Cricetulus griseus: one gene and its partners. The protein of the gene in region 5 interacts with the protein of the main gene of each other region in a pairwise test. Links are inferred from orthologs where the notes say so. Each region holds a gene or a part of one and is shown on either strand. Other genes may lie near its edges.

The links.
Region 1: the proteins of Fxr2 (region 5) and Scel interact in binary tests that used the Homo sapiens proteins (3 or more experiments, as listed by UniProt). The two-hybrid records come from large-scale screens. The link is inferred for Cricetulus griseus from reciprocal best matches to the Homo sapiens genes FXR2 and SCEL.
Region 2: the proteins of Fxr2 (region 5) and Zmat2 interact in binary tests that used the Homo sapiens proteins (3 or more experiments, as listed by UniProt). The two-hybrid records come from large-scale screens. The link is inferred for Cricetulus griseus from reciprocal best matches to the Homo sapiens genes FXR2 and ZMAT2.
Region 3: the proteins of Fxr2 (region 5) and fructose-1,6-bisphosphatase 1 interact in binary tests that used the Homo sapiens proteins (3 or more experiments, as listed by UniProt). The two-hybrid records come from large-scale screens. The link is inferred for Cricetulus griseus from reciprocal best matches to the Homo sapiens genes FXR2 and FBP1.
Region 4: the proteins of Fxr2 (region 5) and Mbip interact in binary tests that used the Homo sapiens proteins (3 or more experiments, as listed by UniProt). The two-hybrid records come from large-scale screens. The link is inferred for Cricetulus griseus from reciprocal best matches to the Homo sapiens genes FXR2 and MBIP.
Region 6: the proteins of Fxr2 (region 5) and CUNH10orf62 interact in binary tests that used the Homo sapiens proteins (3 or more experiments, as listed by UniProt). The two-hybrid records come from large-scale screens. The link is inferred for Cricetulus griseus from reciprocal best matches to the Homo sapiens genes FXR2 and C10orf62.
Region 7: the proteins of Fxr2 (region 5) and nucleoside diphosphate kinase A interact in binary tests that used the Homo sapiens proteins (3 or more experiments, as listed by UniProt). The link is inferred for Cricetulus griseus from reciprocal best matches to the Homo sapiens genes FXR2 and NME1.

Annotation. Positions count from the first base shown.
Region 1 is NW_023276807.1:255,218,610-255,222,109, forward strand, and holds part of Scel (sciellin), read left to right. Parts: intron 1-598; coding exon 599-691; intron 692-1,642; coding exon 1,643-1,714; intron 1,715-3,500. UniProt on the Homo sapiens protein: May function in the assembly or regulation of proteins in the cornified envelope. The LIM domain may be involved in homotypic or heterotypic associations and may function to localize sciellin to the cornified envelope.
Region 2 is NC_048595.1:200,734,123-200,738,402, reverse strand, and holds the start of Zmat2 (zinc finger matrin-type protein 2), read left to right. Parts: upstream 1-1,480; 5' UTR 1,481-1,619; coding exon 1,620-1,637; intron 1,638-1,969; coding exon 1,970-2,063; intron 2,064-2,979; coding exon 2,980-3,103; intron 3,104-4,280. UniProt on the Homo sapiens protein: Involved in pre-mRNA splicing as a component of the spliceosome.
Region 3 is NC_048596.1:280,490,886-280,494,385, forward strand, and holds part of fructose-1,6-bisphosphatase 1, read right to left. Parts: intron 3,259-3,500; coding exon 3,115-3,258; intron 1,021-3,114; coding exon 883-1,020; intron 1-882. UniProt on the Homo sapiens protein: Catalyzes the hydrolysis of fructose 1,6-bisphosphate to fructose 6-phosphate in the presence of divalent cations, acting as a rate-limiting enzyme in gluconeogenesis. Plays a role in regulating glucose sensing and insulin secretion of pancreatic beta-cells.
Region 4 is NC_048598.1:146,092,768-146,096,267, reverse strand, and holds part of Mbip (MAP3K12-binding inhibitory protein 1), read right to left. Parts: intron 1,719-3,500; coding exon 1,653-1,718; intron 1,419-1,652; coding exon 1,266-1,418; intron 941-1,265; coding exon of another isoform or gene 915-940; exon of another isoform or gene 1-914. UniProt on the Homo sapiens protein: Inhibits the MAP3K12 activity to induce the activation of the JNK/SAPK pathway. Component of the ATAC complex, a complex with histone acetyltransferase activity on histones H3 and H4.
Region 5 is NC_048600.1:83,483,175-83,486,674, forward strand, and holds part of Fxr2 (fragile X mental retardation syndrome-related protein 2), read left to right. Parts: intron 1-2,453; coding exon 2,454-2,506; intron 2,507-2,818; coding exon 2,819-2,912; intron 2,913-3,500. UniProt on the Homo sapiens protein: mRNA-binding protein that acts as a regulator of mRNAs translation and/or stability, and which is required for adult hippocampal neurogenesis. Specifically binds to AU-rich elements (AREs) in the 3'-UTR of target mRNAs.
Region 6 is NC_048596.1:19,496,463-19,498,836, forward strand, and holds the end of CUNH10orf62 (uncharacterized protein C10orf62 homolog), read right to left. Parts: intron 2,183-2,374; 5' UTR 1,735-2,182; coding exon 793-1,734; 3' UTR 501-792; downstream 1-500.
Region 7 is NC_048600.1:106,872,426-106,875,925, reverse strand, and holds part of nucleoside diphosphate kinase A, read left to right. Parts: intron 1-1,659; coding exon 1,660-1,772; intron 1,773-3,500. UniProt on the Homo sapiens protein: Major role in the synthesis of nucleoside triphosphates other than ATP. The ATP gamma phosphate is transferred to the NDP beta phosphate via a ping-pong mechanism, using a phosphorylated active-site intermediate.

The DNA of each region.
Region 1 (3,500 bases), on a different chromosome or scaffold from region 5:
ATGTCTTTACTCTCAAAACTTACTAACACGGAAGAGGAAAAATTGCTACAATTTCCACTATTTTTTTTTCATTGAGAATTTCCTCTGTTGCATGGGAGAGATTGAATGTCTTTATGCTCTGTTAAACATGATGACATTTTTAGATCAGCAGAAATCTAGGTCAGACTTCTGTAGTCTTCAAAGCATTACCTTTCATTAAGACCAAATGGGAACTGGAGAGTGTCAAAGCAGCCCCTGCGTCGTTCATTAAACTGATGAATTCTTAGATATGTAGTACAAATGAGGCTTTCTAAAGGGCGCTGCTGTTATGAAAATGATTGAGGAACTAATTTTCAGTTGATTTTAGTCTTGATGAAAATACATTCAATCACAGCATTAGATGACATGGCCCATGTTTGTGAATTATTCTTGAAGGTAAGACAGTAATTTCTGTGGAACCAGTTGAACCAATAAAGCAGTCTATACTTTAATGTATATTCCTGTGCAGAAACCTGGTAGATACAAAGAAATACCATCTATATAGCACAACTTTAACAAAGCAAAATGATTGTATATGACCTTGATTTTGAAGGCCAAATATATATGTTTCTTCTTGCAGGCTAGATGGTCAAGTCAATGGATTCACCAACACTCAACTCAAGGAGTCCACGAGAACCTCTGTCTATTCTTATGATGTCAGAAATAGCCTCAGGTACTAAAGACAGTTATAAAACCAATGACAGGACTATTCCTGTGTCTACTTATTTACATGCAAGCTAGCCATTTGTTTTAAAGCATGGAACTTTTGATATGTAAATACTCTTACATGAAATTGTTGAGTCAACAACTCAATTATTGCTGGGATGCACATAGAATAATATAAAATGTGATTGTTGCTTTAATGTCTAAAATCACATAAAACAAGATTATGACATTGATGTTGATATTCTTCTTTTAAAGATTTATTGATTTCATTTTATGTGTATGTATGTATACCCAAGTCTATGTATGTGCACCACACATCTACTGATACCCACAGAGTCCAGAATGTATCAGATCTCTGGAACAGGAAATGTAGGTGACTGGGAGCCACCCAATGTGGGTGCTGGGAACTAAACCTGGGTTCCCTGCAACAACAAGTGCTCTTACCTACTGAGCCATCTCTCTAACCCAGGCATTCACATTCTTGAATGAGATCTTCCTGACTATATCATTGAACCTGAGGTTTGAATAGTCAATTAAAGTTCACTTTTAACTTAAGGTTTATTGGGGAAATCTATGGTTTAGAAATGAACTAGGCATCAGGGAAACAGATACTAAAAAACAGTACATAGACAGTTAAAATCATCGGCATGCTCTAAGACAATTTTATTAAATCATTAGTTTTCACATTAATAATACTAAAGCAGAACAAGACAGGGATGTTAAGAGTTAAATGGGAGAGGTGGAAAATTTTTTCAGAGGTTGATTAATAACACTTGAACATTTTCATTTGAACAGTTGGTTTAGAAGATATATATATCCTTATAAGGTACATACATACACACATATATACATATGTATAAATATATATATTACATTTTGCATTTTATTGGAAAATGTTTTTGCTTTTATCATCCTCACAAGTGACATTTTAACATGAAACTCAATGGTTTTATTGTAGTTCCGATACTGGAACCAGGAATGCTGGGCCTAAGGACACAGTTGTCTATACAAGGACATATGTGGAGAGTAGGTAATGGAAAAGTGCTTCAGATATTTCATTTCTTTTTACAGCTGTGAATGATCCATGCTGCTTAGGAGGTGCTACCATTTCAGGGTGTGCCTCCTTCATAGAGAGGACAGTTTAATATATTGTAAGTTCTATGCAGACAATGTTTATGTTGTGCGCAACATAAGTAGTTGATAAATGACTTATAGTCACTAAATATACTCAAAAGAATTGCAAATAACTAATGAGTAAGTAATAAGATTCACAATCAGATGTTATTACATAAATGTGCATAACTATTTGGTTATAACAAACTTTTTCATCTCAATCACCTTAATGCAAAGGCTCTACTACTTACTCCCAATTTAACACAGAAGACATATCTTTAGGTCAACATATCATGACCTAAATTGCAGACTATTGATGTCCTATGAAACTGTCTGCTTGGAATGAAGGATGTCAACAAAAGTATAACAGAGGACATGGATTCAAGGAGTATAAAAAATGAGAACTGGCCTAATTATAGGTTAATATAATGGAAAGTCCATAAATGCAGACACATGTGACATGTGTGAATTTATTTCAATGAAGCCCAAGACAACAAATAGTTCAGGGAATCTTCTGTGTGCATGGGAACTCCCAAGGACAACTCAAGACCTCTTTGGGTCAAACCTGTGTGTAATTTACACATATAGCTTCCAAAGTAATTTTTTCTTAATTCAATTTTTGCTCCGTTGTGGCCCCATGACAGTAATTCTTGCTAACATTTAATTAAACTAAAAGACAAAACATTTGAGAGAAAAATAATAAGTAGTTACTGAATCTGAAAGAAATAGGCACATATATAAATAGCATGGGGATGATATAATGACAAGACACAAAATATTGGCAAGTAGGATAAAAGAATAGGCATTGATTCTATGCTTACATGACACTCTGTTTTCATACATTGGTAACCCTATGAGATAGCATATCAACACATTTTGATTTCTAAAGAAATGTCTCATTGAAACAAAGTCCAACAACTGTGGTATCAATTTTTACAAAACAGTAAACCTCTAGAATTAGGCTTGGTCTACTAAATACTACTTTCCAGATTTTTTTAACTTATTGAATAATTCATTAAAATATCAACTTGATTTATACAAGTACAGAAACTAAACCACATTTGAATTATTTAGCCCCATTGGCTATGGTTTGCCTATGTAAACTGCTGTGCACATGGTATCGGAATATCTGTGTGTATGGCATTGGAATATCTGTGTGTATGTGTACAGACAGCAATTCTCAAGTGTGATTTCTGTGCTGGATTCAACAGTATCGCTTCAGACTTGTTACAAGTGGAAATTACTTGGTCCCATCCCAGACCTGAAGAATCATAAACTCTGCCATTGGGGTCCTGGCCATCTGTGTTTTAACAAATTCAATGTGCTTTTGACGCAAATGCAGATTTGAAAACTGTAGCTATAAAAGATAATATTGTATCATGTCAGACCAATAATATGTAGGTTAGAATATTCTAAAAGGATATATTTGCTACTGTTTGTTTCTTACCCTAAGGCGACAGTGATGTCCCTCAAATATCTCCAGCTTTCTTAAAGTGTACACTGAAGGATGCACAGTGTATTGTGAAGTCTCTAGAGTTAGGTTCAGGATTGAGTTATTGTTTGTCATTTACAAACCCAATAGCCTTGGCAAAGGTGCACGTGTGTGTGTGTGTGTGTGTGTGTGTGTGTGTGTGTGTGTTGTGTTGTGTGTGTGTTGGTATTTTAATTTACATTAAACTATTTTACTTACTTAAATTACTTAA
Region 2 (4,280 bases), on a different chromosome or scaffold from region 5:
CAGAGCTACAAACAAAACCAATAAGTAAAAATAAATAAATAAATAAGCAAGCAAATAAATAAAAATTCAGCCTTGGGTTTACATGAGACCCTTTTTCAAAACAGCAAAACCTCTGCCTGATGGTACACACTTTTAATCCCAGCAGTGGAGTAGTGGGGCAGAGGTAGTAGAATCTCTTTGAATTTGAGGTCAGCTAAACAAGAATAAAGATTAAAACAAAAGCTGAGCACAGAAAAAGGGAGGATGTTCAGACAACAGGCTGGATGGATAGATGAGGGAAAGCAACCTCAAAGAGGGAGGTTTTTCTTTATTGGGAACACAGATGGGCAGAATCTTGTGACTGTAGAAATACACCAAGGGAACTATACAAAGAGAGTTTCAGGTCAGACAGGTCCAAATAGATCTCATCTAAAAACATACCACTCTTAGCTGGGTGTTGGTGGCCCACGCCTTTAATCCCAGCACTCAGGAGGCAGAGGCAGGCGGATCTCTGTGAGTTCGAGGCCAGCCTGGTCTCCAGAGCGAGTGCCAGGATAGGCTCCAAAGCTACACAGAGAAATCCTGTCTCGAAAAACCAAAAAAAAAAAAAAAAAAAAAAAAAGCCAAAAAAACCAAAAACCAAAAACCAAAACAAAAAAACAAAAACAAAAACAAAAACATACCACTCCTATAATCGTAGCACTTCTAAAGTGGAGGCAAGAGGTTCAGGAGTTTAGTCATCCTCTGCATCATAGTCTGGTGTACATGAGACCGTTTCTCAAACACTACCCTCTCTCACAAACTAGTCAGAGTGCCGAGTGCTTCATTTTGGGGCTGCTGGCTGATGAGTTTCAAGATTACTGTATTGTATAAATTGAATGAGTTTAAATGTTCTCCAGACATGGAAATAAGTGTAACCAAAGTGAAGCATCGTTGTTTCAAGGGAAAAGGACTCATTTAAAAGTGCTTGTCTTTTGTGCATAATTTAGAGCCACACTCAGTACATGCTGGTGAATGGGACTTCCAGAGCCACTGATAAGTGTTTTAGCTTTTAAAATAGATCTAGGTTTACTAGGCAGAGAGTGTGGCTCAATCGGAGTGTTTGATAGCATGAAAGAAGCCCTGGGTCCGAGCTCCAGCACCGCATGAATGGGGCATGGTGGCACACGCCTGTAAACCCAGCGCTTGGGCAGTGGAGGCAGGAGAACTAGAAGTTGAAGACTAGCCTCCACTACATAGCCAATTAGAGTTCAGTCTGAGCTACTGGAGAACCTGTCTTTAAAAATCAAAAAAGTTTAGAAACCCTGGAGATGCAGGTAAAGTTGTTCAGATCATGGGGCACTGTTTCCGAACCTCCAATTCTTTGTAAAATAGAACAGATGAGCTATTATTCTTCCAAGGTTTGTTTTGAAGAAAAACGTTGGCCGGTGCCCTTACTTCCGTGTTGCTTCACGATCCTTTTGCGCTTGCGCCGGCTCATTGGAACAGAGGGCGGGGCTAACAGGACAACCTTAGAATCGCTCCAGTCCTTAACGCAGTTAGAATGTGAGGCTCGAATCTTATTGGAGCGAGATCTTGCCTTATGGCTTCCGGGCGCATTTTACGGCATTTTACGGCTTTCCATTCACTTCGCTGTGAAGATGGCGTCGGGCAGCGGGGTAGGTGTTGGTGTGAGGAGGTTTGAGGGGTCTGGGGTGGTTTTTCGGAGCTAAATAGAGACAGACTGTGAGACTTGGCCGACTTCCTGACACCTCTTCGTGATCTCAGGGTCAAGGTTCGAGAACTCCCCCCGTAAGGCCTTGGCGCAGGGACAGAGGAATCTCGGAAGTCTCTCGGGTTGGGGTCCCGAGTACCCCAGACCCCCGGGCGTTCCAGAGAGACTTCTCTTTCGAAAGGTCCTGGGCCGCCTTGGTGGCAGTTAGGCGGTTCCCTTAGTTTCTTCAGGGGAACAGGCACAACGACGGATCTTGAGCACTTTTTCCCTCTGCAGACAAAAAACTTGGACTTTCGCCGAAAGTGGGACAAAGATGAATACGAGAAACTCGCGGAGAAGAGACTCACAGAAGAGAGAGAAAAGAAGGATGGTGGGTGCTCCTTCATGAAGGGCTAAGGGGATGGTAGAGTTGATGCAGTGGCTCGAGAAGAAATGTCCCAGCAACAGGATGGTTTCTGTTAGCGTGTGAGGACAAGCAGGCAAAAAACCTAAAGCTTCCTCCTTTTCTTTTACGTGAGCTGCCCCAGGGTGTGATCCATATTCAGGGTGGGTTTCCCCATCTTAAATGATCCATCCTCCTCCCAACAAAAATAAAAAATAAACTGCAAATAAGTGTGCCCAGCTGCTTGGGTGTAGTTGATTCCAGATGTAGCCTAGTTGATAACTAATGTTAGCCATAACACGGCATGAAAACATTGAACATTATGCTACAAAGAGTGAATTACTGTCTTATGAAAGGTTTGCTTCTAGCAAAAATTCAGAACTCAGTGGAGGTGGACAACACCTAGGAAACGCTGTTTAAGTTTGCTGTCTTTAAAGTTGGGAAAAGCTCTTGAGAGTTAGAATCACCATCACAAGTTTGAGGGCAGCCTGGTCTCCATAGTGAGTTCCAAGCCAGTTAGAGTTTTTTTTCTGGCTTCTTTTAACTTCTGCATAAAGTATCTGTTGTGTCCCTTCCTTGAGGAATCCAAAAAAAGAAAGAGTAGTCATCTGAATTTTGGGATTCATACATTTCTTTTCCTTTCTGGCTAATAGACTGTAATACTCACCATTGATCTGATCCCCATACTCAGGAGAAGAGGCAGGGGGATCTCTGTGAATTTGAGGTCAGCCTGATCTACAGAATGATTTCTGGTACAGCAAAAGCTACAAAGAGAAGCCCTGTCTTAAAAACAAACAAAAATAAGAAAGAGAGAAAGGAAGGAAGGAAGGAAGGAAGGAAGGAAGGAAGGAAGGAAGAAACTGTAATACTGAAAATTGTAATACTCTTTCTCATTCTATTTCAGGAAAACCAGTGCAGCCCGTCAAGCGGGAGCTTCTTCGGCATAGGGATTACAAGGTGGACTTGGAGTCCAAGCTTGGGAAGACAATTGTCATTACCAAGACTACCCCACAGTCTGAAATGGGAGGGTGAGTAGCTTTTTGTCCTCTAATACCAAGGCTGGCCTAATATTTATATTGGTTTTAGGATGTGTTGACAAGAATCTCAGGCCAGGGATGGCAACCTTATCTACCATAACTCAATGGTTTGTTTTTCTTTGTCCCCTGAAGTTTGAAGTCTACCCAGTCCCAATTTCAAGAAGGGGTGTTCTGTGGGCTGCTTCATATCAGTAGTATAGTATTTTCTTGATATTTTCAAAGGGGTTATATAATCTGTCATGAAAGCACTGAGGTGTTTTACATGGAACTGTTAACAGTAGTTATACCCCAAGACTGTGACCTATAGAAGAGTTCCACAGAGCTTGTCAGCCTTTTGCCACCATTCCTTCAAGACTGTCAAGTTGAAATTTATATCAGGAGACTCATGCAGATAGTAGTTAGCTACACTTTCTCAGATTCTTCAGTAAACCCACTGTTTTGATGTCTTTGCTGTATAAAATAGCAAGTTAAATATTAAATATCATAAAATAATAATAATAGTTCATAGTTTGTGGGCATAGAATTGAGGGATAGTTGGTTACCGTGGAGATTCTTAATCAGAGTCTCCAATGAAGCTGTAGTCATGGAATTGGCTAAGTTTGCATTCACTGGGGCTTAAATAAAGTTGAAGATTCTCTTTTAGGCTTTCATATGCCTATGGTTTGGAGGCTGAAGTTAATCCTGTGGGCCTATTTGTAAGATTGTTCACAATAAAGCATAAAGAGATGAGTTTCCCTAAATCAAGTCATCCTCACAAAGGCAGAAACCATTCTTTATGATGATATAGTCTTGGAAGTGATATACTATCTCTTTTGACATGTTCTGTTCGTTGCACAGAACACTTTGGCACAGATTGGGAGGAAGCTACAAAGGGTGGGAAGACAAGGAGAGTCAGGCTGCCCTGGAGGATGGAGACTATTTTATAAGGCTTTATGAAAATGCTTCTAAAAAGGTGCTGGGAGCCAGATGAAGTGGCTCATGCCTGTAATACCTGTACTTGGGAGGCTGAAGCAGGAGCAAAGTTAAAGCCTACTTGAGCTACAGGGTTAGAGCTTTTCGTTAAAAACAAAACAAAAAAACTCCCAAAACAACAACAACAACAACAAAAAAAACACAACCAAAAAACCAGGCCTGTGGTACACACACACACATTGTAATTCTAGCACTT
Region 3 (3,500 bases), on a different chromosome or scaffold from region 5:
TGTCTGTGTGTATGTCTGTGTGTGTGTCTCTGGTGTGTGTCTGTGTGTGTATCTGTGTGTATATGTCTGTGTGTGTGTCTCTGGTGTGTGTCTGTGTGTATGTCTGTGTGTGTGTGTGTGTGTTTGTGTCTATGTGTGTGTGTGTGTCTGTGTATGTTTGAGAGCATGCATGTAGGTATGTACATAGGTTAATATGTGCATGTGGAAGCTAGAGGTTGATGTCTGGTGTCTTCCTCCATTACTCTCCACCTTATATATTGAGACCCGGTCTTTCACATGAACCCAGAGCTTCTGATTTGTCTCTCCCAGGTTACTGCTCACTCAGGGGATCCCTTCTCTGCCTCCCTACTCTGGTATTACAAGCAGGCTGCCTGTAAGCTGGACCTGGGGGGGGGGATCCCCAGTCCCCAAGCTTGTGAAGCAAGCAATTTACCCATTGAGTCATCTCCCTGCCTGACACTGACCATCCTGATACAACAGACAGAAATCCATCAAAGACATGGGGGTGAAGGTGCAGACCTCACGCGGTAGATGCTTGGGGGCTAAGAGGTCTCAGAAACACAGATGTATTGTTATTATTATTATTGTAAAGGAGCTCATCTGGTTGAATTTATTGTCCAGATTATGCTTGGAGATAAAGACTAAATAATACTCAAATTTTGGTGTCTCCATGCAAGCACTCCAGCCCCAGTACTTAGCTTCAGGGGTTTCTACCTCTCTCCCCTTTCATCTCCAGGATAATTCACATCAGTGGATTTACTCATAAAGCAAGAGTCCCAGATAAAGTCCAGACCCTTCTCGGTGCCAAGTGTCCCTTTTCCTTTAAAGGGCACGCCTCCCAAAGCTGAATACCACACCAGTCCCGCCTGCCTACTCACTCACTGGAGGAAACTTTTTCCTCTGGATATACTCGGCGATGGCAGGGTCAAAGTCCTTGGCATAGCCCTCATTAAGGCTGTAGATGTTACCTTTCTTCTTGATCTTCACATCCTTGTCCACCAGAATGAACTCTCCGACGGCCTTTGAAACAAGGGAGAAGGTAGACCTATGACCAGCAAGCTCCCCCGGGCATGAACAAAGCATGACCTGTGACCATATCTCACCCCAAGGCACATTGATTGCAGCAGCCAAAGGCTCTAGTGGTGAGCAGGATGGAAGGAGTAAAGGGAAGCCAGGGTTTAAGGGTGCTAATGATTTTCATAAAACAAGAAAGTTTACAAGGCCAGACATGGGAGAGCACAACTCTAACCTCAATACCAGAGAGGCTGAGGCAGGAGGATTAGGAGTTTAAGTCAACCTGGGTTGCACTGTGAGACCCTACCTCCAAAATCATAGATAGGAAGGGGGCTCATGTGGCCATACCCTCCCTGAAGGACTATTGTCAGTAAATGGTTCCTAGGAAGAAGGTATCGTTTTCTTCACTGTAATAGTCATTGATAAATTGCTCATCCCCCAGAAATAGCCCTTGCCCTTGCCCCCCATACAAGCAATGAATGAATCTCTGTTTGATTCACAAACAGGGAGAGAGGGAGAGAGGAAGGAGGGAGGGAAGAAGGAAAATAGGAGAGGACTAGCTAGAAAGAATGGGAGATGAAACTGACCAAATTCATTATATGACACTGTCAAAGAATGAAGAAAGAAAAACCATTCAGACACAGACAGGAATGGAGGGAGTATGTGAAATACAAACCAAGAGACTGCTAACTCATTCCTGAAGACATGGAGGGATGTTGAGGCTAGGAAAGGGTGGGGAGAAGAGGGAATTAACCACAGTCACAGAAATGTATGGCCACAAGTGTGTCTGTCTCCTCTTTTTTGTTTTTGTGCTTTTGTTGTTGTTGGTGTTGTTGTTGTTGTTGTTATTCCTAAAACTTTGAGCCATAATTTTATAGAAATATTTTTGTACAGTCAAGAAGACAAAGTAAGTATCTCCACCTAAAATGTCTAGAAACCCGGAGACCCCTGCAGAGCTCAGGCAGCCATGCTCCCCAGGCAGCCATCTTGTACCCAGCCTAAGCACCCAGTGGGTGAAGGAGGAGAGTCTCCCACATTTGGAGACAGGAGTTATGAAAGCTCATTCAAAGCTGAAGCCTGCTAGAAACCCACATGGAGATATTCTATCCATGGTCTCAGCCATCAGCTTATCCTAGATGGGAGACAAGAGGAAAAGGGAGGCACCTGGCATCTCCCTGGGGTAACTTCACCTCTATCAGGCCAAAGAGAGCCAAGCAGAAGTGTTGAAGTCAAATGGAGCCCTGGCAGTCAGCAAGGGGAGCATTTCAGCCGCTGTGCTGATCCAACAAACATCCGTATCTGGGGAGGGAGGGAGGGAGGAAGGGAGGGAAGGAGGGAGGGAGGGAGGGAGGGAGGGAGGAGGGGAGGGAGGCCGCCCAGCACCCAGAAATCCACCCTCCACAAGCACATCTGCAACCATAGACAGAATTTCAGTCTATCAACTCAGAGGCAGCAGAGAGGGCACCAGGAGCTGATCAGGGCGACTGGACAGCCTAGACAAGTGACACTGCAGCAAACACTGCTGCTTTCAGAAGCTGCCCTATTTCCCCTGGGGCCCCAGGCCCAGATCTGTGATGTATGCTGTCAATCTCTACTTCAGTCTTACATTATTTATTAAGTGCCCGTGCTCCAGGGAGGTGAAAGTGCAGTTGTGTTAGGATCAAAGGTAGCCCATGTTCTGATTGGCAGCAGTTTGCCACACCCCACACACTCTCAAGAGAGAACTGCCTCTCGAAGAGGACACCTGCTGTGCTTTGTGTGTGTGTGTGTGTGTGTGTGTGTGTGTGTGTGTGTGTGTGTGTGTGTGTGTGTGTGGTTTGCTGATGTCCTTGTTTACAGGAAAAAGGGGAGTGGGGCTGGAGAGATGGTTCAGCACTTGCTGCTTTTCCAGAGGACTCAGAATAGGTTTGCAGCACCTATGCTGGGTGGCTCACAACCACCTGTAATTCCAGTTCCAGGGAATCAAACACCCTCTTCTGACCTCCGTGGACATTACACACTTGGGACACACACACACACACACACACACACACACACACACACACACCATGTACAAGCTCAAAGCTACTAGGCAAGCACCCAACCTCAGAAGTGTCTCACCGGGTCCAGCATGAAGCAGTTGACACTAGACTGCCCGGCAAGGACCAACATTGTGGCGCTGCCATAGAGTGCATAGCCGGCTGACACCAGGTTCCGGCCTGGCTGCAGGGCATCCTTTGCAGAAGGCTCCCCATCAGTGGTTTTCTAAAGCAAAAATGGAAAATAAAGCACGTTTTCATTTTGCTTCGTGGTCCTTTTTTCCAGTTCCCCCATCAACAGGATGCCTGGCAGGATATTCCTCTAATGTGGTGGCTCTCAACCTTCCTGATACTGTAACCCTTTTTAATACAGTTCTTCATGCTGCGGTGACCCCTAACCATAAAATTATTTTCATTGTTGCTTCTTAACTGGAATTTTGCTACTGTCACGAATCCTAATGTGAACAC
Region 4 (3,500 bases), on a different chromosome or scaffold from region 5:
CTTTCTAAATATTGCTTATGCATCCCATATTGCTACAAGTTGTTTTACAAAATTCATTTTATGGGATACTGAATAGTTTCCGTATAGAAAGTGTTTCTAATAGATGTTGTAGTTACTTAGAAGGAAAAATACTGAAGTCACAAGATGACAGTTCCACTTGATGGCTGTGCTTATCCTATCATTCTCTTCAAATCCTATTTCTCCTAGCATGGTATATTTTCTCCTTTGACCTAGAAAAATGTTTAAAGGAGTTTTCCCATAATTCTCAATGACAGTTCTTTTAGAGGAGGGCGTGGTGTTTTAAAGATACTTAGACATCAAGTTCATTATTATATTTAGAATCTTTCTACTGTTTCAAGTATCATCCCTGAGACCTGCCTGGTCTAGACCACAGTCTCTCTGCTAAGTACTGAGTTTGCTATGCGTTTGAGAGCTCCAGAGAACTAGTAAAGAATTTTTAGCTGGGTACAAACAACATCAGATATGAGCTTGAAAAACAGCAATTTGGTCACAGGGTGAAAATGACCTAGTTGACCAACAGACCTATCACTCCAAGACAGAGATTACAGTAGTTTCATCTACAGCAGTAGCTGTGGAGGCAGAAGAAGAAACATGCAGGGACATTTAGGAGAATTAAGAGCATGGTAACTAAATGGGTAAGACTATTTGCTTCCTAGCTGTCACTTACTATAATATCCTGGGAGGCTGCCTGAGCTCTTTGGACTTCAGTCTTACTACCTTTCCAATAGTAATAGCACACACCTCCACAGAGTTCTGTTAATCACTAAGTTGATATAGGCACGGCACTTTCAGAGACAGTATTGTTCAAAAAATATGGGCTCATTTCCCCCAGGATACTTACTCATTTATGTGTTTATTGTCAGGAATGCACTGAAGACCAGGACCACATTTATCTACATTTTTGTAGCTGGCAGAAGGGCTAATAACAATTAGAGGTAGTCATACAAGTTCTGAAATTGGCCATAGCAACACATTACATTCATTTTTTGTTGGAACTTCAATAAACCGAGGCTAACAAAATCTATCTAGATCTGTTTCCCAATTTAGAAAGTGTCAAGAAGTATAAGAAGAGAAAGCATGAACACTGAGAACTTTACAGATTCCTCGACAGTAGCAACTGTTTTATGCACCTAGAACGAGGGCTTTACAGTGAATGTTTGGGGAAACTCCGGAAGCTAAATGAATCTAATTTCCTTAAGACTTGCAAAAGCACATTACAGAACATCACCTAACTCTCTACTTACCCGTCTGCAATCGCAAGTGGGCCTCAATATTCTGGAGTCGTTCTTCCACAGCCTGGTTGCCACAGTCTCGAAGCATGCCGGTAGGTTTGTGACCTGACCCTGGAATTCCTTCGGGTCTAGTCTGTGGTCCATATGTATTCACAACTCTAGAAACTAAGTTAAGAAACTTTTAAGCCTATGTGAATTTATGCTCCAAAAGCAGAAATTCTCTCTCCCTTACAGTATATCTTTTCCATAATGGTCACCTAACCAGAAGCTCAAAAAGGAAGAAAGGCAATGCCTTCGGTTTAGAATAAAGTTTAGATGGGAAAAGTATTTCTATTCCACGTTGTTATGAAGCTACAACAAACTTTTGCCAGTGACATATACTATACAGCAGCTACTTACCCTTTACGTGACTTTTAAATCCAGGATAAGGAGTAAAGACGGCATCAGTCCTTGCACAACTATTTTCTAGGGAGAATTTGGATGAATTTAGTTCAAATATATTCTTAACTAAAAATTATGAGATTATGATAAACTCCTAATAATTCATATTTTACTCATGGGAGAATTTTAAAGGACTAATAATTACATTACTATCACATACAGAATAATTTGGGTGGTCTTTATCCTCTGAATTGAATCACAAGTAATATTTTTATGTAACGTTCAGATATACATATAGAGAAACCATTAAGTGACAAAACTTCTGATAATTTTTAATAAAATGAGTTATTACTCAAAATTATTGGAGAAAATAATTCATATATTCTAGAGCCCCATATTCTAACTCCATTATATAAACAGAAGACAATTTACCAAATTATCTTTTAAAAATTTCAGCATTTTTGTTATTACCAAATTAGTGAACATATAACAGAGGGACTGATTGTATATTTTACAGTTTTTTTTTTTTTTTTTTTAGGTCTCAGAACTTTATAGACTTAAAAAGATCCTGAAGCCTCAAGTACAACACACACTGAAATCTCAAGCACAGCACACTTTCCCTCTGTTCCTAGATTTCCAATGTTTATTTTAAAAAGGCCAAACAAAAGGGCATCGCTCTCAATCCTACTTTTTATAAACTGTAATTTTAGAAAAGATACATTGTGAAAATTTTCCCAATATTTTTACCAAGGTGAAAACTACAATTTCTTTTCAATTATGTATGGACAAATAAGTTATAAGGAAAGAAAACAGGAATATGTTAACATACTCATACAATTAAATATTAGCACAATTGTAATATATGAATAATATATATTATATAATGCATTAACCTAGAAACATATGCTAATGCTTGAAGTAATAGTAAAGCTATACATTGGCAGTAAATTTTCTGTTAAATTTCCATAATTATTTGGTAAAAAAAAAAATGGGTGTAAAATGAGTTAAAGTCTTTTGTTATTTCATGAAATCTGATATGAAATCCGATTTTTAAAAACTAATTCTTTTTCTTAGACCAACTGAAAAGTCTTTAAAAATACAGTAACACATTATAATGTATTTTTTAAGCTTAAGTTTAACACATCTGTGATAAGTCAAACTGTAAATAAAATTACAAACCCTCTTAATCTTTTATATTTAAAGACTAAACAGACTCATTTTCTTTTCCTTGGAAACACCTCAAAATATATATAAGAGGCCTACACTTCTCTATTCTTTCTATCCTTTCACTGGTCTTAGGGTATTAAAAAAAAAAAAAGAAAAAAAAGGCTATGTTCCATTCCAGGGCTATATTCCAAATGCAGAGAGCCATCAGTGAGAAATGCAGCGTGGTGCGGGACAGTGAGTGCATGAGGCTAGTCGTTCTCCACAGCAATTCTTGCCAGCACTGTTTTGAGCCAGCAAGGGATTGAATGGGCTAAGGAATCCTGCTGAGCATTTCAATTCTTGCCAATTTCTATCCCCTGATGGTTTATAATAATAGAGTTAGCAGGAAGAACAGAGGAATAACATTAGTGACACATGCACTTGCTCCCTCAACAAACCCTTTCTCTTGAGGTGCACACAACTGATTGGTGCACCTGAGATTTTGCCACTGCCATACCTGTTCTGAAAGGCTAACTCTAGAGATCCACAGAAGTTAACAGTGGAAAAAGTGAGATTTAGAACCCAAAGTGAGCTTACGTTATTATGTTAAGAGTATCCTGTATCAATGTGATTGTGAGTCACTTCCAGGTTCAACTGACAATTCCATGCTCAGAATCACCAGCCAAAAGATATATTAAAGGCAGTAAGAAAAAGGTTAAG
Region 5 (3,500 bases):
CACCTCTAGAGCACTATTGGTATACTTTCTCTTAAGCACTGCCACTATCCCCATTCACAATGTTCAGGTTTGGTCCTTGAATATTGTTAGCCTTTTGTAGTATTTGCCTTTCTTACTGTTTTTGATGTTTGAATTCAGGGTCCTGTACATGTTAAGCACCACCACTAAACTATATACTCCAGCCAAAGCCCCTAATTTCTTATTCACTTTTTTTTTTTTTTTTTGAGATTTGAGACAGGGTTTCTCTATGTAGACCTGGCTGTCTTAGAAATCGCTTTGAAGACCAGACTGGCCTCAAACTCACAGAGATCCTCCTGCCTCTGTCTCCTGAATACTGGGATCAAAGGCCTGTGCCACCACCGCCCATCAGCAACTAAATTTTTCTTTTCTTTTCTTTTCTTTTTTTTTGAGACAGCGCCTTGCTATGCATCTGGGTGGCTGGGTGGCCTGGAACTTGTTATGTAGACCTTGAACTTACAAAGATCCACCTGCCTCTACTTCTCAAATCCTGGGACCAAAAAAGCTGTGCAACACAACACTCAGCCTGTATATGAGTATTTTATCAGCATATGTATCTGTTTACTACTTGTATGCCTGGTGTCTGCAGGTACCTCCCCCAGGGACGGTCCTAAAATTCTGTTCTTTCTGCCTTCACTTGAGTGCTAGGTTTATCTGTACTCTACCATGCCTGTCTCATGATACATTAAGTTTATTTTTTACTTTTTTTTAGGACAGGAGAGACAGTTAAAAGCACTTGCTCTTCCAGAGGACCTGAGTTCAATTCCAGCACCTACATCAGGGGGCTCACAACTATGTAACTTCAGCTCCAGGGTATACAACACTTCTGGCCTGCTTGGAGCATTGCACTCAACATTCACAGTCCCACAAACAGTCACACACACCTACACACAATTAAAAATACTTTTAAATTGTTTTAAAAAGTTTGTAGCTGGATGTTGATGGCACACGACTTTAATCCCAGCACTCAGGAGGCAGAGGCAGGCGGATTTCTGTGAGTTCCAGTCTAGCCTGGTCTCCAGAGCGAGTGCCAGGATAGGCTCCAAAGCTACACAGAGAAACCCTGTCTCAACCAACCCCCAAAAAAATTTTAAAAAGTTTGATATATATGAATGTTTGTCTGTGTGGTGCCACATATGTACCTGCTGCCTGCACAGGACAGGGTCGGGTCCCCTGGAATTGGAGTTAGAGGTGGTTGTGAGTCACTCATGTAGGTGCTAGGATAAGAGCCTAGGTCCTCTGCAAGAGTAGCAAATTGTCTTAGCTGCTGAGCCAGTTCTTAGTCCCCATTTAAAATTTTTGAGGTAAATCATGTATATGAAGTCAGGTACCAAATTCACTTTTTTGTGTCTGGCTATCTAGTTTTTCCAATACCATTTGTTGAAAAGGACTCTCCTTTCTCCAAATTCTTTTCACTTTTATCAAAAATCAGGAAGTATAATAATTGAAAGCAGTTTTTGGGCTGGGGGTATAGTGCGGCTAATAACTGCGTGCACAAAACACTGAGCACCAGATAAATTGGGTATGGTGGTGCACACGTGTAATCACAGCACTTGGGAGATAAAGACAAGAAATCAGAAGTTAAAGGCTCTGCTACATATGAGTTTGAGGCCAGTCTGGGCTACTGTCTTTAAAATAAAATCTGTTACCATAAAGATAAATTAATTGTACTTTGTCAAAACTAGAAATCTGTGTGTGAAAAATAGGGAGACAAGGAAAGAACTGAGACTATAGGTTGAATATACAGTTTTGGCCTTCGGAAAAAAGGAAATAGCCACTATTTAATGATTCTTTTAGTTGTGATCTCAAGATCGGTGTCTCATATATTTTAGTTTCAAATTCAGCCTTTATTTTTGCCCTTTAGCAATATGACATCTTTTCAATTCTAGTTTTTGTTGTTTTTTTTTTTTTTTCCTGTAAACTGCTTATTTTGAACTTCTCCAGTGTTCCCATTATTCTCCAAGGACTCAGGCATCTGGGTTCTAAATTCCCCAGGTCTCTAGGGAATTAGACCCTTCTCTCTCTTGGCAGGCCCTGATGTCCTCTAGGTGTTTTAGTCCAGCCATATACTGTCTTGGGGGATATTCTTAGCCTTGCTGAAAGTTGCTGGTATTTTAATTGAACTCCGGCAAGCTGCTTTGCACACCAGGAGGCAGAGTAATGGCAAGGTAACTGGAACCCTTAGTAGATCACCAGGTTCCAGACTGTTCTGGTGGAGCTTCTACTTTTTTCTTATCCCATGTTATTTCTAGATTTTGTCAGTATGGTTTCCTTTCTCTTATTCTTTATATCCTTTTCCAATACAGCTTCCTGATTGTTTTAGACTGTTCACATCCCCTGCTAAACCTCTTAATTTTAAAGGTTTCTGATTTCTCTTCCTGATGGCTAAGGTGGTTAAATATATTTACATATGTTTCCTAAATTTTTTTTTCTAGGGCTTTGTGAAGGATGTCCATGAAGACTCTGTCACCATCTTCTTTGAAAACAAGTAAGACCTTGGGAGTAGACAAACATACTAGGTCCTAAAAGGAGAGTGAAAGGTGGAGACTGGTAGGTGGCAGGGAGGAGCTGAGAGTTTGGGTAAGAATTCCAGGAAAGAAAGGGCAGATAGCTAGGTGCAAGTTGTAGTCATTTGATACTTGGTATCAAGGGATAAAAGACCACTATGGAAAAAGAGCCTGTTGTGACTCTTTGACGATCAAGTAGGATAAAAGTGGTCTTGGCAAGGGAGTAATCCCTTGTGAAAAGGTGGACAATTACATCAACCTGAATAGCTTTCATGTCACTGCTTGTCTTGTAGCTGGCAAAGTGAGAGACAGATTCCTTTTGGGGATGTCCGGCTACCACCTCCAGCTGACTATAATAAGGAGATCACAGAAGGTGATGAGGTCGAGGTAAGGCCTGTGAAGTCCAGCTTTCCAGTGTTAGTTTGCCTTTTTCCCCTCAGGATTCTGTTTTTGTTTTTGTTCTGTTTAGTCAAGACAGGGCTTCTCTGGCTGCCTGAAAACTTGTCTGAAGACCAGGCTGGTCCCAAATTCATAGAGATCCACATGACTCAGCTGGATTTTGGGTTTTTAACTTAACTGATTTCATGGGTATGATCTGAGGGTGCACCAGTTTAAAGGGGACACTTCTTTGTGTGTGATAAATCCACTTAAAGTCTAGTCCTGTAGTATACATATGTGAGTTTGAGTGTGAGTGAGACTTGGAATTGAACCCAGCGCCTTGGGCATATTTGTGTGTTTGTGGGGTGTGTATGCATGATTGTAGGCAGGAGTGTGCCACAGCTCACAAGTGGTGGTCAGGACAGCCATGAGCTCTTGGCCACTACAAGAAAAATGAAATAATTAAAACTCAGTGATCTCATACTTTCAGTTAGTATCTCCTTACTCTGGTTTTATTTTTGTGGGCTTAGGAATCCTTTTTAAGTGTCCGAATGCTTTCTCCAATTCTTTTGTTTATTTTTTTAAAGATTTATTATG
Region 6 (2,374 bases), on a different chromosome or scaffold from region 5:
AGGCGTTCAAGGTTAGCCTGGCCTACATAGTGAGTTCCAGGACAGCCTGGGCTACATTGTGAGACCCTGTCTCAAGAGAACAAGTGAAAGCCCCAAGTAGTCTGAATATTGGTGGCAGATGCAATAGCCACTGTCACAACTCAAGCAACGGTGACATGACTCAGATGTGTCTCTTACAGTTTTAGAGCTGTGGACACATGGATCCTCATGAATCCCCAGGGACCTGAGATGGCACCAAGAGGATGGGGCCCAAAGTCCTACCTGGATGACTTATGGCTTACTCTGTGATGAAAGCCTGACCCTGGTCCCCTCTCCCCATCACCTGGCTTCATCCTGGTCTCTTGGTAGGCAGGTGGGTTTGAAGCCTCTGGCAGTACTAGTCCCAGTACCTGAAGCCAGGGAAACTGTTATGGTTTTAAGTCTGGTGCAATGAGAGGTCCCCAGCCAAGGCCCACTCCTCCAACCCTGCCCAGAACTCAGATGGACACAGAGCCCCTGGACACAGAGGGCATGTAGGGCTTTATTGGCTCCATTCAGGCATGTGGAGTCAGTGTGGGGCTCATGGCTGCTCCTGTAATCTGCCTCATGTCTTCTCTCGTGGGTCTTCAGGGCCCTTGGGCTATTGTAGCTGCATCCCTTCCTCCCTTCCTCATGATGCCAGCTGGGGCCAGAAGTAGGGATTTGGGTGGCAGCCTCTCACCCTGGACCACATAGGTTTCCCCAGAGAAGAGAAAACAGGCCTGTGTATGTGAGCCAGCCCTGTTGGGGGAAGGGGTACGTGGTTACGTGGCTTCAAGAGTCATAGATTTGTTGGCTGCGGCTGGGCAGACTATGGCTCTGATGGCTTGTGTGACCTGGCTGACCCTGGTGACTCTGGCTGCTTGAGTGACCGGGAAGACCCTGGTAGTTTGAGTGGCTCGACTGACTCTGGTGGTTTGAGTGGCTCGATTGACTCTGGTGGCTTGAGTGGTCCGGATGACACTGGTGGCTTGAGTGGCCCGGATGACTCTGGCGGCTTGGATGACTTGAATAACCCTGGTGGCTCAAGAGACCTGGATGATGACACTGGTGGCTAGCGTGTACAGGATGATTCTGGTTGCTCTGGTGGTTTGAATAGCTGTGCTGGTTTTGATGACCATGGCGACACTGGCTATAGACAGTGCGCGTTTGGTTGGCACCAGCTACGGTGCTTTCCCGGTGAGCGAGGAAATTCCCCTTCAGCTTTATCTCCACCTCCTCCAGAGCCTTCAGCTCTTCTGGGCTGATGTCCTTGGATTCCACATGGCCTCCACGCTGGTAAACCTTGGCGCGTTTTAGCATGGAATTAGCCAGGTGATGTCCCTTGGCATCAATGTCCTTGGCACATGCAGCCACCTCTGCCCATGTTTCATTGTCCATCGATGAGGTCTTTCCTGACTCCCTCTGGGTCTCTTTGGTCACTGAGGTCCCAGATACCTTGTGTTTGCTGGCAAAGGAATCTCGGTGCAGAGCCATGCCCCCTTCTCCATGTGTGGAGGTGAAGGTATCCATGTGGATAGTGGTGCTTGCCTCCACCTGCCTATTTTCACATGAGGGGCCATTGTAGCTGGCATAGTGGTGGGTGGGCAACCTCTCTTCGGAGAGGCGGCTAAAGTGAGATTTGATCCAGCTGTCATTTCCTCGGCAGGATTCGGAAGACCTGACCCCAGAAGACTCTCTGGCTGTCTTCCTTTTCTTCCTCTGAGCCCACAGCATGAGGCCTCCACCTCCTAGCACAGCAAGGACAGTCCCCAGCACCACCTTGCATGATGGTTGCTGGAGGAGCTCTAAGAAGTCCTCCAGGGCCCCAGGCCTCACACAGAGCTAAGAGCACACTGGGAGTGGTGGAGCCCAGATGGTATGGTTCATGCTTGAAAGGGCTCCGGCCCTGCGGGTGTCTGGTGGGTAGGCATCTGCCTCACCCTCCCTAGTATGCCCTCCGACACCTCAGCAATGAACCCCATTGTGAGGAAGGCAGTGGGGGTGGGGTGAGGTGAGGCCACCCCACCACTCAGACCTAGTCTGTTGGGTCTTGTCTCGTCGTCATCTGGTGCCCTCAGTGGAAACTGTCATTTAGCTATGAGGTGCTTCTGCCTTCTGCTTGCAGTACATTCTTCTGCTCTGTCCCTCTTTCCAGTTGTTGGTTTCCCTCATTGTTCCTCATCTAGTGGCCCCCAGAGCACAGAGGATAGTGAGTTAGTTTGGCCATGATAACCTGGGAAACTCTTAGCTGAACTGGCATCTATCCCTGGTCAATATCTCCTGAAGGACCCGTCTCTGCTGTCTGCACAATATATACCATCTCCTGGCTCCATTACAGGGTCCAGAAAGGAAAGGGCCCAGGAAGGAGCTCATT
Region 7 (3,500 bases), about 23 Mb from region 5:
GGAGCTTTTGATTCTCCTACTTACAGGGTATTTGGATTATAGGCCTGCGTCACCATACCAGACACAACTTTGCTTTTTAAAGTACAAGAAGAAGGGTAGGATGGGTGGTGGTAAGAAGCAAGATAGGATGAGAAGTGTTCAGGGACTACATAATGATAATGTCAGGGCTGTGCTGTTAAATCACCAGTGCTGAGAAATTATGGCAAGTACCATATTTAGCATTTTATTTATTTTGACTTTTTGAGACAGGGTCTGCCTGTTCTTTAGCTGTGAAGAGACACCATGACCCCTGCAACTCTTATAAAAGAAAGCAGTTAATTAGGGGCTTGCTCATAGTTTCAGTGGTTTAGTCTATCATCATCACGACAGGGAGCATGGCTGTGCACAGGCAAACATGGTGCTGGAGAAGTAGCTGAGAGTTCCACATCTGGATCTGAAGGCATTAGAAAGAGGGAACCATTGGGTTTGGCTTGGACCTTTGAAACCTCAGAGGTTAAGAGCACTGCCTGATATTTTAGAGGTCCTGAGCACAGTTCCCAGCAACCACATGGTAGTTCACAGCCATCTGTAATGAGATCCGGTGCCCTCTTCTGGCATGCAGGCAGAGCACTGTATATGTAATAAATAACTCTAAAAATAAATAAATAAATAAATAAATAAATAAATAAGGAGAGAAAAAGCAAAACAAAGAAGAAACAATTTCAGAGGTGAAAATAATTTAAAAAAAAAAAAAGGAAAAAGAAACCTCAAGACACACTTCCTCCAACAAGGCCACACCTCCTAATCCTTTTTAAGTAGTGCTACCCCCTGATGACTAAGCATTTAAATATATAAGCCCATGGGAGCCATTATTAAAACTACCACATTCCATTTCCTGGCCCCCTTAGGTTTATAGCCATATCACAATGCAAAAATGCATTGAGTCCAACTTCAGATGTCTCCATAGTCTATCATAGTATCAGCACTATTTAAAAGTTCAGTTTCTCTTGAGACTCATGACATTCTCTAATTGTAACCCCCTGTATAATCAAAATAAAAAAGCAAATAACCAACTTCCAACATACAATGACACAAAATATATATTACCATTCCAAAAGGGAGCACAGTGAAGAGATAGTCTGGACCAAACCAAGACCTAAAACTGGCAGGGCAAACTCCAAACTCTGTATGTCCATGTCTCATGTCAAAGAACTCTTCAGATCTCCCACTCCTTTCAGTTTTATTGACTGCCATATACTTTTAGCTCCTGAGCTGGTTCCACACCCCTTATGCAGCTTTTCTTGGCAGGTATCCCATGACTCTGGCATCTCCAACATCTTGGGGTCTCCAAAATAGGGTCTTTCCTGGGACTCTCTTATGTGGACCAGGCTGGCTTTACAGAGATCCACCTGCCTCTACCTCTGGAGTGGTGGGATTACCTCAATGGCAATATTTAGCATTTCAAAAGGCCACTGGCTATCACATGAATGAATCTGGGAAGGATAAGAGTAGGGGCAGGGTGACCAGAATCCCTAGTCCTGGAACAAGTAGGCATTCTGTTTAATCTAGTGAATGAGAGGACCCAATTCTGGAGCCTTTTTCTTTTGTTTAGAATCACTAGATGCCAGGTTTTCTACTAAGTTTTTCTTCCTTGACTGTGTCTTCTCTTGTCCTTTGGAGGTCTGGGAGGGGTTGAATGTTGTGAAGACAGGCCGGGTGATGCTTGGAGAGACCAACCCTGCAGACTCTAAACCTGGGACCATTCGAGGAGACTTTTGCATCCAAGTTGGCAGGTAAGAATTGGTGTTTTTCACTTTTTTCCAAAATCCAAGTTAGTTGCTACAAGAATTTGGGCCTCTGAGGCTAGAAATGGACATGATAGCATCTGCAGGTCAATTTATTTTTATTTTAAAGATTATTTATTTATTTATTTATTTAGGTTTTTTCGAGACAGGGTTTCTCTTTGTAGCTTTGGAGCCTATCATGGCACTCACTCTGGAGACCAGGCTGGCCTCGATCTCACAGAGATCCACCTGCCTCTGCCTCCCAAGTGCTGGGATTAAAGGCGTGCGCCACCAATGCCCAGCAAGATTATTTATTTATTATGTATATAGTGTTTTGCCTACATGTATGCCTGCAGGCCAGAAGAGGGCACCCAGCCTCATAGTGGTTGTAAGCCACTATGTGATTGCTGGGAGTTGAACTCAGGACCCCTGGAAGATCAGTCAGTGCTTTTAATCACCGAGTCATCTTTCTAGCCCCCTATTTATTTTATTTTAGCTTTTAAAGATTTATTTATTTATTATGTACGCAGTGTTCTGCCCGCATGTATGTCTGCACACCAGAAAAGGGCACCAGATCTCATTACAGTTGGTTGTGAGCCACCATGTGGTTGCTGGGAACTGAACTCAGGACCTCTGGAAGAGCAGCCAGTGCTCTTAAACCTCTGAGCCATCTCTCCAGCCCTATTTTAGCCTTAAAGCTTATTTTATTTTTTACTTGTTCTTCATGTATATGGACAGTTTTTTTTGTCTGTATATTTCTTGGTGCCCAAGGAGGCTAGAACAAGGCATTGGATCCCCCAGAAATGGAGTTACAGATAGTTGTGAGCCTCATGTGGATGGTGGGAACTAAACCCAGATTCTCTGGAGGACTAGCCAGTGCTCTTAAAGGCATCTCCTCTGCCCCTATTTTAGTTGTTTTGTTTGTTTGGTTGCCTTTGATAGTTTGAGATAGGATTTCTCTGTGTAGCCTTGGCTGTCCTGGAACTAGCTGTTGGCCTTGAACTCACAGAGTTCTGTCTGCTTCTGCCTCCCAAGTGCTGGGATTAAATAAAAGCATGTGCTGCCGCCACTACCACCAGGCAAGTTTAGCTGCTTTTGAGACAATGTCTTAAGTATGCTAGCTGGCCTCAAAATTGCTATCCTTGAATTCCTGATAGTCTTTTCTTTCTCCCTCCTTCCTTCCTTCCTTCTTTCCTTCCTTCCTTTCTCCCTTCCTTCCTTCCTTCCTTCCTTCCATCCTTCCTTCCTTCCTTTTCTTCCTCTTTCCCTCCCTCCCCCTCTCTCTCTCTCTCTTTCTTTCTTTCTTTCTTTCTTTCTTTCTTTCTTTCTTTCTTTCTCTTTCCTTTCTTTTTCTTTTTTCTTTCTCTTTCCCTCCCTCCTTTCCTCCCTCCCTCCCTCCCTTTCTTCCTTTCTCTTTCCTTTTTCTTTTTTCTTTCTGTCTCTTCCTCTCCTCCCCTCCTCCCCTTCCTTCCTTCCTTCCTTCCTTTCTTTCTTTCTTTCTTTCTTTCTTTCTTTCTTTCTTTCTTTCTTTTTTTTTTTTTTTTTGAGACAGGGTTTCTCTGTGTAGCCCTGGCTGTCTTGGAACTTGATCTATAGACCAGGCTGGCCTTGAACTCAGAGATTCTCCTGCCTCTGCTTCCTGAGTGCTGGGATTAAATGTGTGAGCCATCACTTCTTGGCTCAGGTCACTTTTAAATGGGAGTTTTGTCTTCTGCCTCTGAAGGTGGAGGCTGACTT